2 linked regions of the Diceros bicornis minor genome follow. The protein of the gene in region 1 purifies or fractionates together with the protein of each later gene. This does not show direct contact. Links are inferred from orthologs where the notes say so. Each region holds a gene or a part of one and is shown in the gene's direction. Other genes may lie near its edges.

Evidence for each region.
Region 2: the proteins of KDM5B (region 1) and PAX9 purify together in Homo sapiens (affinity purification with western blotting, with the first as the bait; 3 studies listed by BioGRID). This does not show direct contact. The link is inferred for Diceros bicornis minor from reciprocal best matches to the Homo sapiens genes KDM5B and PAX9.

What each region holds. Positions count from the first base shown.
Region 1 is NC_080777.1:30,853,571-30,857,474, reverse strand, and holds the start of KDM5B (lysine-specific demethylase 5B), read left to right. Parts: upstream 1-1,185; 5' UTR 1,186-1,200; coding exon 1,201-1,380; intron 1,381-3,904. UniProt on the Homo sapiens protein: Histone demethylase that demethylates 'Lys-4' of histone H3, thereby playing a central role in histone code. Does not demethylate histone H3 'Lys-9' or H3 'Lys-27'. Demethylates trimethylated, dimethylated and monomethylated H3 'Lys-4'.
Region 2 is NC_080744.1:12,973,830-12,977,733, reverse strand, and holds the start of PAX9 (paired box protein Pax-9), read left to right. Parts: upstream 1-1,193; coding exon 1,194-1,197; intron 1,198-1,946; coding exon 1,947-2,573; intron 2,574-3,904. UniProt on the Homo sapiens protein: Transcription factor required for normal development of thymus, parathyroid glands, ultimobranchial bodies, teeth, skeletal elements of skull and larynx as well as distal limbs.

The sequences.
Region 1 (3,904 bases):
AGTACCTACCCCACAGGATAGTTGTGAAGATTCAATGACATACCAACGCATTTACAACAATACACAGTCAGCGTTAGATAAATAATAGCTATCACTCATATACTAATAACGCTCAGATTTACATCTCCAGTTCTGATCTCTCCCCTTCAGATTTATACCCTTTATCCTGTTGGCTATCTTCAACTGTAGCAAAGACAGCTCAAACTCAGCATGTCCAGAAGTGAACACATTATCTCCCTCCCCAGACTGACTTCTCCTTGTTTATATAATCTAGGTGAGGGCCCAGCAATGCCAACGGGCCAGCATCCACTCACGCATGCACCCTAGACTCCTGAATCATCCTTGATACCTTACTGTCGCCAATTTATCACCGCGTCCTAATTTTATCTCCTACTTTTGCATCCCTTCCTCCTAATCAACAGCACTACTGCCTTAATTTGGGCCCCATCATTTCTCATCTGGATTATTTCAAAAGTCTTTTGCTGCTCTCACATCCAACCTCGCAGTCATATTGCTCGTGGACCACTCTTTTCCTGCAACACCCCCACCCTCCAATAAATCGACTCTCCGTCACTTACTAGCGTATGAATTTGGGCAAACGGCTTAACCTGTGCCTCGCTGTCCTTATTTGTAAGGTGGAAGTAAGAGTGCCTGCCTCATAGGGTTGTTGTGTAGATTAAATCATTAATCATGCAAAGCACTTAGAATGTGCAAGTGCTCAAAAGTGTTAGCTTGTTACTATCGTTGTAACTGTTTCCTCGCGTCCGTCCACGCTGTCCTTAGTTGGAGCTGTTCCTTCTCCCTGGAAAGTCCTTCTCCGTGCCCGGCGCTCTGCCTCTGCGGGTTACTGCGTGCGCGCTGCTATCGTGGCGCCGACCGCGGAGTCTCCACATGCTCGAGCAGTCCACTCCGAAGTCGGATCCTTCCACTAGACCGGTAACTTGTTGAGTGAAGGGACTCGGGCTCGTCGTGAGCTGCCGGTCAGGGTCCACTCCATGGCCCTCGGGGGCGGGAGGCCGGCCCCGCCCGATCCGGGGCGGCGGGTGGGGGTGGGGCGGGACTCCTTTTCCTCGCCGTGGCGGCGGAGGCGCACGGCGTGGGCTCGCGGCGAGACGTCGTCGTCGTCGGCGGCGGCGGCGGCGGCGGCGGAGGAGGAGGAGGAGGCAGAGCAGGCCGAGGGCTCCGCCGGACCGCGCGTGGATGGAGCCCGCCGCCGCGCTGCCCCTCGGGGGCCCGGGCCCGCTGGGCGAGTTTCTGCCGCCCCCCGAGTGCCCGGTCTTCGAGCCCAGCTGGGAGGAGTTCGCCGACCCCTTCGCCTTCATCCACAAGATCCGGCCCATCGCCGAGCAGACGGGCATCTGTAAGGTGCGGCCGCCGCCGGTGAGTCGCCCGGGAGGTCGGGGCCGAGGCGGGCGGAGGAGGGGAGCGAGCGGGGGCGGCGGGGCCGCCTGAGGCCGGGGACGCGCGTCCGACCCGGAGTCGGCCCGGGGCCCGGAGGGGGCGCGGTGCTCGGCTGCCGGCTGCCCTCCCGGCGCGGGGTTTGGTCCCGGGGCCGGGCCGGGGCTCCGCCTGGGCGCGGGCTGCGTGCGGCGGGTGAGCTGGGGGAGGCGGCGGGGTGAGGGGCGGATGTGTGAGGGGTGCGTGCGCGGCTGTGTGGGACGGGTGTGTGAGGGGACGGGTGTGTGAGGGGGCGGGTGTGGGGCGGTGAAAGGTGGGGGACGAGTGTGAGTGGGGGTGCAGGAGTGTGTGGGACGTGTGTGGTGACGGCGGCTGTGTGTGAGGTGGGGGGCGGTGAGAGTGGGGACGCGAGTGTGAGGTGGGGGCGGCGGTGAGAGTGGGGGCGGGGAGCGCGAGTTGTCGCGCGGAGGAAAGTTCTCAATATGGCGGCGGCGCCCGGTCCTTTGTGTGGCGGCGGCGGCGGGCCGGAGCCGCCTCACCTGGGCGTCCCACCCTCCGGACCGGGGCGCCCACTCCCCTGGTCCCCGGGCTCCCGTGTCCCCCGGGCCTGGGGCCTCCGGGGGCGCGAGGAGCCGCGGGCTGGCCCCGGCGCGGCCGTGCTTGGGGGCGGCGTTGTGGGGCGGCGGGCCGGGCCGTGCCGGTGGGCTGGGTTGGGGGGTCGGCGAGAAGACCCGGGAAGGTTAACGCTCGTGTCCGCGTCCCGTCCCCCGCCGCGGCCCTCCAGCCCCGTGTGGGGCGCCCGGCCTGGGGGCTGTGTGAGGGCGGGGGTCTCTGCTGCCACCTCTAACGGCCCCAACGCTCGCTAGGAGAGCCGGGCCCACTCCTTCCCTGTCCCCCTACCCACCCCCGGCCGGAACCGGAGGCGCTCCCACCCTGTTCTTTTGCCCACCTTTCTGATGGTCTGAGGCTGAGTTGGCCTAAACGACGGTTGGACGCGCTGGGACCGTTGTGTGGGGGGGTTAACTGTCTTTCCTACAGTTGGAGTCTTCCCCGCTCTCCTCCCCCGCCCCACCCCACCCCACCCCCATGAGGAAGAGCCCCCTTCCATTCCCTCCTTTCTTGAGCTTGCTCTTCGTAATGACACTTGGGGTTCCGGGGATTCTGTACGTAACCGTTGTGTTTTGGAAAGCTGTTTTGAGGGAGATCCCTCAATAAGTCTTCCTTATCTCTTCCCTGTCCCCCCAGATTAAAACAGGGACCCCATACTTTAGTTTTTCTTGGACAAGTTTGATAATGGAGATGAAATATGTCTCAGAAAAGTAACTGCCCGGCGAGTATGGGAGAAATGTTTGAAAGTAGATGCGTTTCGCTCAAGAAGTGGACAAGGTTGATTCTTGTTGCTTAAGGGAAGTGCATTTGTTTTAGAGAGCGAAGAGGCCTGCAGAAGTTAAAACCGGGCTGATTAGAGCCAAGGTTTTAATTCTTGAAGAATAGGTCATGTTTCAAACATTTAGTGTAGTTTTATGTTATATGTTAGGAAACGTGAATATGAATATTGTACGTTTGCCTTAATGGGACTTTATTCAGAAATTTAGGCAGTGCAAGTTTTTGGTAACCAGAATGTGTGGAGTCAGGTTCCTGGGAGTGAGTTGTCCTCCATGTTGGTATTGTGGTGTAGTACTAGGGTAAACCCTTTATCTTATTTCTTATTCTTTGCTTTTTTTAGGGCTTTTTTCCCAAAAAGGCTGTGTTGCTCTGGTTAGGTTTGGCTACCCATTTCCCCTTTTTGGCTAAGATATTAGTGGTAAGCTTTGCAAAATGTGTGATGGTACAGGATAAGGCAATAGCCTTTTCCCATTCTGAATGTCAGACAGACATGATGGCCACCATTTTGTAATGAGAGTAGTACATACTACAGCCTGGGAAAGGGTGTTAGAGGCACAAATAATCTACACACTTAACCAGTGCTCTGTTTTGGAAACCTTCTTTATGTGGAGGGGGCTTGCTTCTTCCTTTGTTTAACAAACTTCTGTACCAAATGGAAAGAGTTTGGGAGTATTTGTTGTTGATATAACCAGAAAAGGGAAAATTTTCCAGAAGTTGTAGCTCTTGAAGAAGGGTCTTGTTGGAACAAAGACTTCTTAAGAGAGAAAAACAGTCTTTGTTTTAGAAACTCTTGTTTTAGGAAGCTAACTGTGAACAAGTGGTTTTATATAGTTGAAATAAAGCAACAAAAAAACCCAAGAAGTATGAAGTATTTTCCATGGCGTTAGCTTTTTAATGCCTGTGTTTCTAGATGTTTTTTGTTCACTAAGTTTTTGGAATACAAGTGGCTGTATTAAAATGGGGATTGGGGCTATTGGTATTTTACTTGTTAGGAGGTAGGGGGAGGAATTCTAAAGCGTTTTTATTTCCTTTTGTTCCTACCTTTGTATCATTAATTAATGGCACTTATATAGCTTCAGTTTATAGCTGCTTTCTCAGTGAGGGTTCTAAACTGCTTGGC
Region 2 (3,904 bases), on another chromosome or scaffold:
AATTCAGAAGTAGACCACGCAAGGACTCTGATAGCTAAACGGAAGACGCGGGAATTACATACACGTGCAGGCTCGGGGTTCACCTTCTTGAGACCAAGTCTCTTTCATTTTTAAACAAAACCCCTTTGCAGCGGTTCAGGGGTGGGGGGAAATGACAAACGTCGGCACGCAGGACCAGCGGACCGGCACGGTGGCTGAGCGCAACGGCGCGCGGGCCTCCGCGAAGAGGGCCCCACGCGAAGGCAATCGGTCGACCATGGCCGTGCCCTCGCTTTGGCCGCGTGTGGTTACACTGTCTGCACGCGGCGCGGCCAGTGCCTCGAGCCTGCGTGGCTGAGGTTTGGCTCCGCGCTCTTAGATGAACCCATTAGAGATTGCTATGGGGAGCTAGTCGCGGGGGCGGGAGAGGGGTCTCCACCTGGCGGTAACAGTGGCCTCCATCTCTGGCTGGGTCTCCTCAAAACTTCCTCGTCCCCTCGACGGGCCTACCTTCTCACATCTGCTCTCTCGCCACCTGGCTAGGCTGGAGTGAGGTAGGATCCCCCGGAGGCCTGCAGGACAAGCTATTCTAAGAACCCCCCTTCCGATGACGGTGGCTCCCACCACCCACCGAGTTTTGACTTCAATTCTGAGATGTCCGTCTTTCCCCCCAAATCAGTCTCCTCAGCCCCTCCCCTCTTCGAGTCTCTAGTACGCGGACCAAACGCTTTCATTTGCTTATTCAGCATTTCCATCAGCCCGATTTTGCTATCTGTTTGCGCTGCCCCTGGGAAGGTGTCAAACACCCATTTTCATTGTATTTAGTCACCCAGGTGCAGAGCAGGCTTGAACGAGACAGCGGAAGGACTTTCCGGACCGCGCTGTCGCTCACTGGCCCGCACCAATCACCACGCTGCTTGCCCTCGGACCCTCCTCTTTGGGGGCGTGACCCTAATGAGTGATAGACGGAGCCGCCCGGCCCCGCTCAGCCCAGCCCACGCTGCTGCTTAGATTGAAATGCAGAACTCAAGCTTCTTTCATCAGGGCACAGACTTCCTTTTACTCCTTCCTTTTGCACTCTCGCCGCCTCCTCCCGGGGAGAAGCGGAGGCGCCGGCGGCCCGGGGCACCGACTGGCCGGGCCACTGAGGCCGTGCAAAAAGTTTCTTTCTGCGAGTGCGGAACTGGGGCCCGGTCGGTGTACTGCTCGGAGCAATGGGTGAGTGGCGGCGGGGGACGCTGTCAGAGCCGGGAAGGGAGGGAGGGAGCGAGCGGGCGAGAGAGGGAGGGAGCGCGAGGGCGCGCACTACTGAGCGCTCGCGCTCTCCTTATTGACTTTGTTCGTGTTCCTACAAGTTGTAGGAACCCGCTAAGGGTCAGCGTCGCACAGCAGTTCAGTCTGAACGCTGGCTACTGGGTTGCTGTTGATGCCATTTTCTGATTTTAAGAGAACGGAGGGGTGGCATCGGCAAGCCCCCAGGCCTAGAGGTGGACCAAGTTCTGTTTCACTACACGCATCCGCGCAAACAAAACAGAAGAAACCTGTAGTTCCCCCTAGCCCTTGTCTAATTGCGCAGGTCCCCAGGCGGGGCGCTGGGGATCAAGGGGCAGCGGCCCAATGACTTTTAGCGCCGAGCAGGCAAGAAGGAGCCGGTTGCCGGCCTGAAGACCGATTTCCCCTCCTGCTTCGGAGACTTTTGAACACTCAGAGCGGCCCTGACTCGCACCATTTTATTTGCTTGTAGCGGCCGCAGGCGTCACCAGAATGAGGGAGGGGGTCCGCCTGGACCGCTGTGGTTTGGGGCCGTTCGGCTAGGCTCAGGGACCGTACGGTTTGGGGAAAGCCGGAGTCCTTAGTCCGGGGCGGCTGCATCCGCCCTGGCCCCTGACGGGCGCAGAGGCCGAGTGGCAAGCGGCTGTCCCAAACTGCGGGTGCGCGTTCCCGCGTGCCGTGTGTTCCTTTTGCAGAGCCAGCCTTTGGGGAGGTGAACCAGCTGGGAGGAGTATTCGTGAACGGGAGGCCGCTGCCCAACGCCATCCGGCTTCGCATCGTGGAACTGGCCCAACTGGGCATCCGACCGTGTGACATCAGCCGCCAGCTACGGGTCTCACACGGCTGCGTCAGCAAGATCCTGGCGCGCTACAACGAGACAGGCTCGATCTTGCCAGGAGCCATTGGAGGCAGCAAGCCCCGGGTCACCACCCCCACCGTGGTGAAGCACATCCGGACCTACAAGCAGAGGGACCCCGGCATCTTCGCCTGGGAGATCCGGGACCGCCTGCTGGCAGACGGCGTGTGTGACAAATACAACGTGCCCTCAGTGAGCTCCATCAGCCGCATCCTGCGCAACAAGATCGGCAACTTGGCCCAACAGGGGCATTACGACTCATTCAAGCAGCACCAGCCGGCGCCGCAGCCGGCGCTGCCCTATAATCACATCTACTCGTACCCCAGTCCCATCACGGCGGCCACCGCTAAGGTGCCCACGCCGCCCGGGGTGCCCGCCATCCCCGGCTCGGTGGCCATGCCGCGCACCTGGCCCTCCTCCCACTCCGTCACCGACATCCTGGGCATTCGTTCCATCACCGACCAAGGTAAGGGCTCAGGGGCGGATGCGTGGATGTGCAGAGCCTCCCTCCGCACCCTCGCTGGGGTTTCCGTTATCTGCGGCCTTGGGGCGCGCGTCTATCCTACCACCGGAGGCTTTTTCCTTTGGAAATGTAAGGAGTCCTCCCAGGGGGTGTCCTGATCTCATTAACTTGAAATTCATGCCCTTCGTTTCCTTGCCACACACAGTCTCCTGCCTCATCTCAAACTACCAGACCCATAACATCCCCCCATCCCCAACACATGGTTCGCATTTTCCACCCTCCCCCGCCTCTCGCGCTGCCGCAGCCTCAGACCCGCTCGCTCACTTGGAGAGCGCGGCCGGGGCCGGACTTGGGGCGCAGCCCGGGGGCCCGAGCCGGCGTGGGGCTGCCGGCTGCAGACACCGCTGCGGGCAGCTTGTTTGGGAATCAGATGCGGCTGCGAGGAGTCGGGCACCCTGTGGAAATTGCAGTATTCTTCTTGGATTCTGGCAATCAGGCCAAATTTGCTCAGGCAGGAAGTTCAAATGTCACCTAATTGGTTTCATTCTTATGCTTCACTTCATTTTCCTCGGAAACCGAGGTCCCGAAGTTACTACTAGTAACTTGCATGTCACTGCCTTGCTCATTCTGGTACTAATTTTCTGCTTTATTTCTCTCTCCCTCCCCTCCTTATCTTGACAGACTTCACTATATATATGTTAGGAAGTGGCACCAACCACCGCTGTGATGGAGCCAAAATGCATGGCGACTCGTGCTGTCCTCTCTTCTGTTCTTTCCGGTTTTCCCCGCGCCTGCCGCTTCGCCCTGGGGTCCCCCGGTCCCCGGGAATGCAAGTGGACATCCAGTCCCGGCACGTTTTCAAGGGTGCCACCGCGCTGTTCCTTTCCTTTCTCGTCCTTGACCTTGCCGTGTCGTGTCTTTTCTGCTTGGTAAGAACGCTTCTCCGAGCCCTCCTGCTCAGCCGGGCTTCCGCAGGAGACCCCAGTTTGTTTTCTTTTATTGCGTTGTTAAAACAAAACACGGCGTTAACTTCTTTCTCGGTAGGGAAAAAAGAAAGTCAGAACGCCCTAGACGGAGAATTTAAATACTGCAGAGATAAAGAGTCTACCTTCTTAATTTCTCAGCCAAAAGCTTAAAAACCACAGAGGAAAAATGAAATAGGAAAGCGGGAAATAGTTCCTTTAATTATTTCCTGCCTTTCTCCGTTGCCACCACACTGGCACAATTATCTTTTTAACTAATTAAAGCAGAGCCTTGATTTCTCATCTTCTTGTTTTCTGACTGTGAATTTACAAGATCCTTCTAAGAGGTCAGTTTTGTCTTATTCTGAGCTG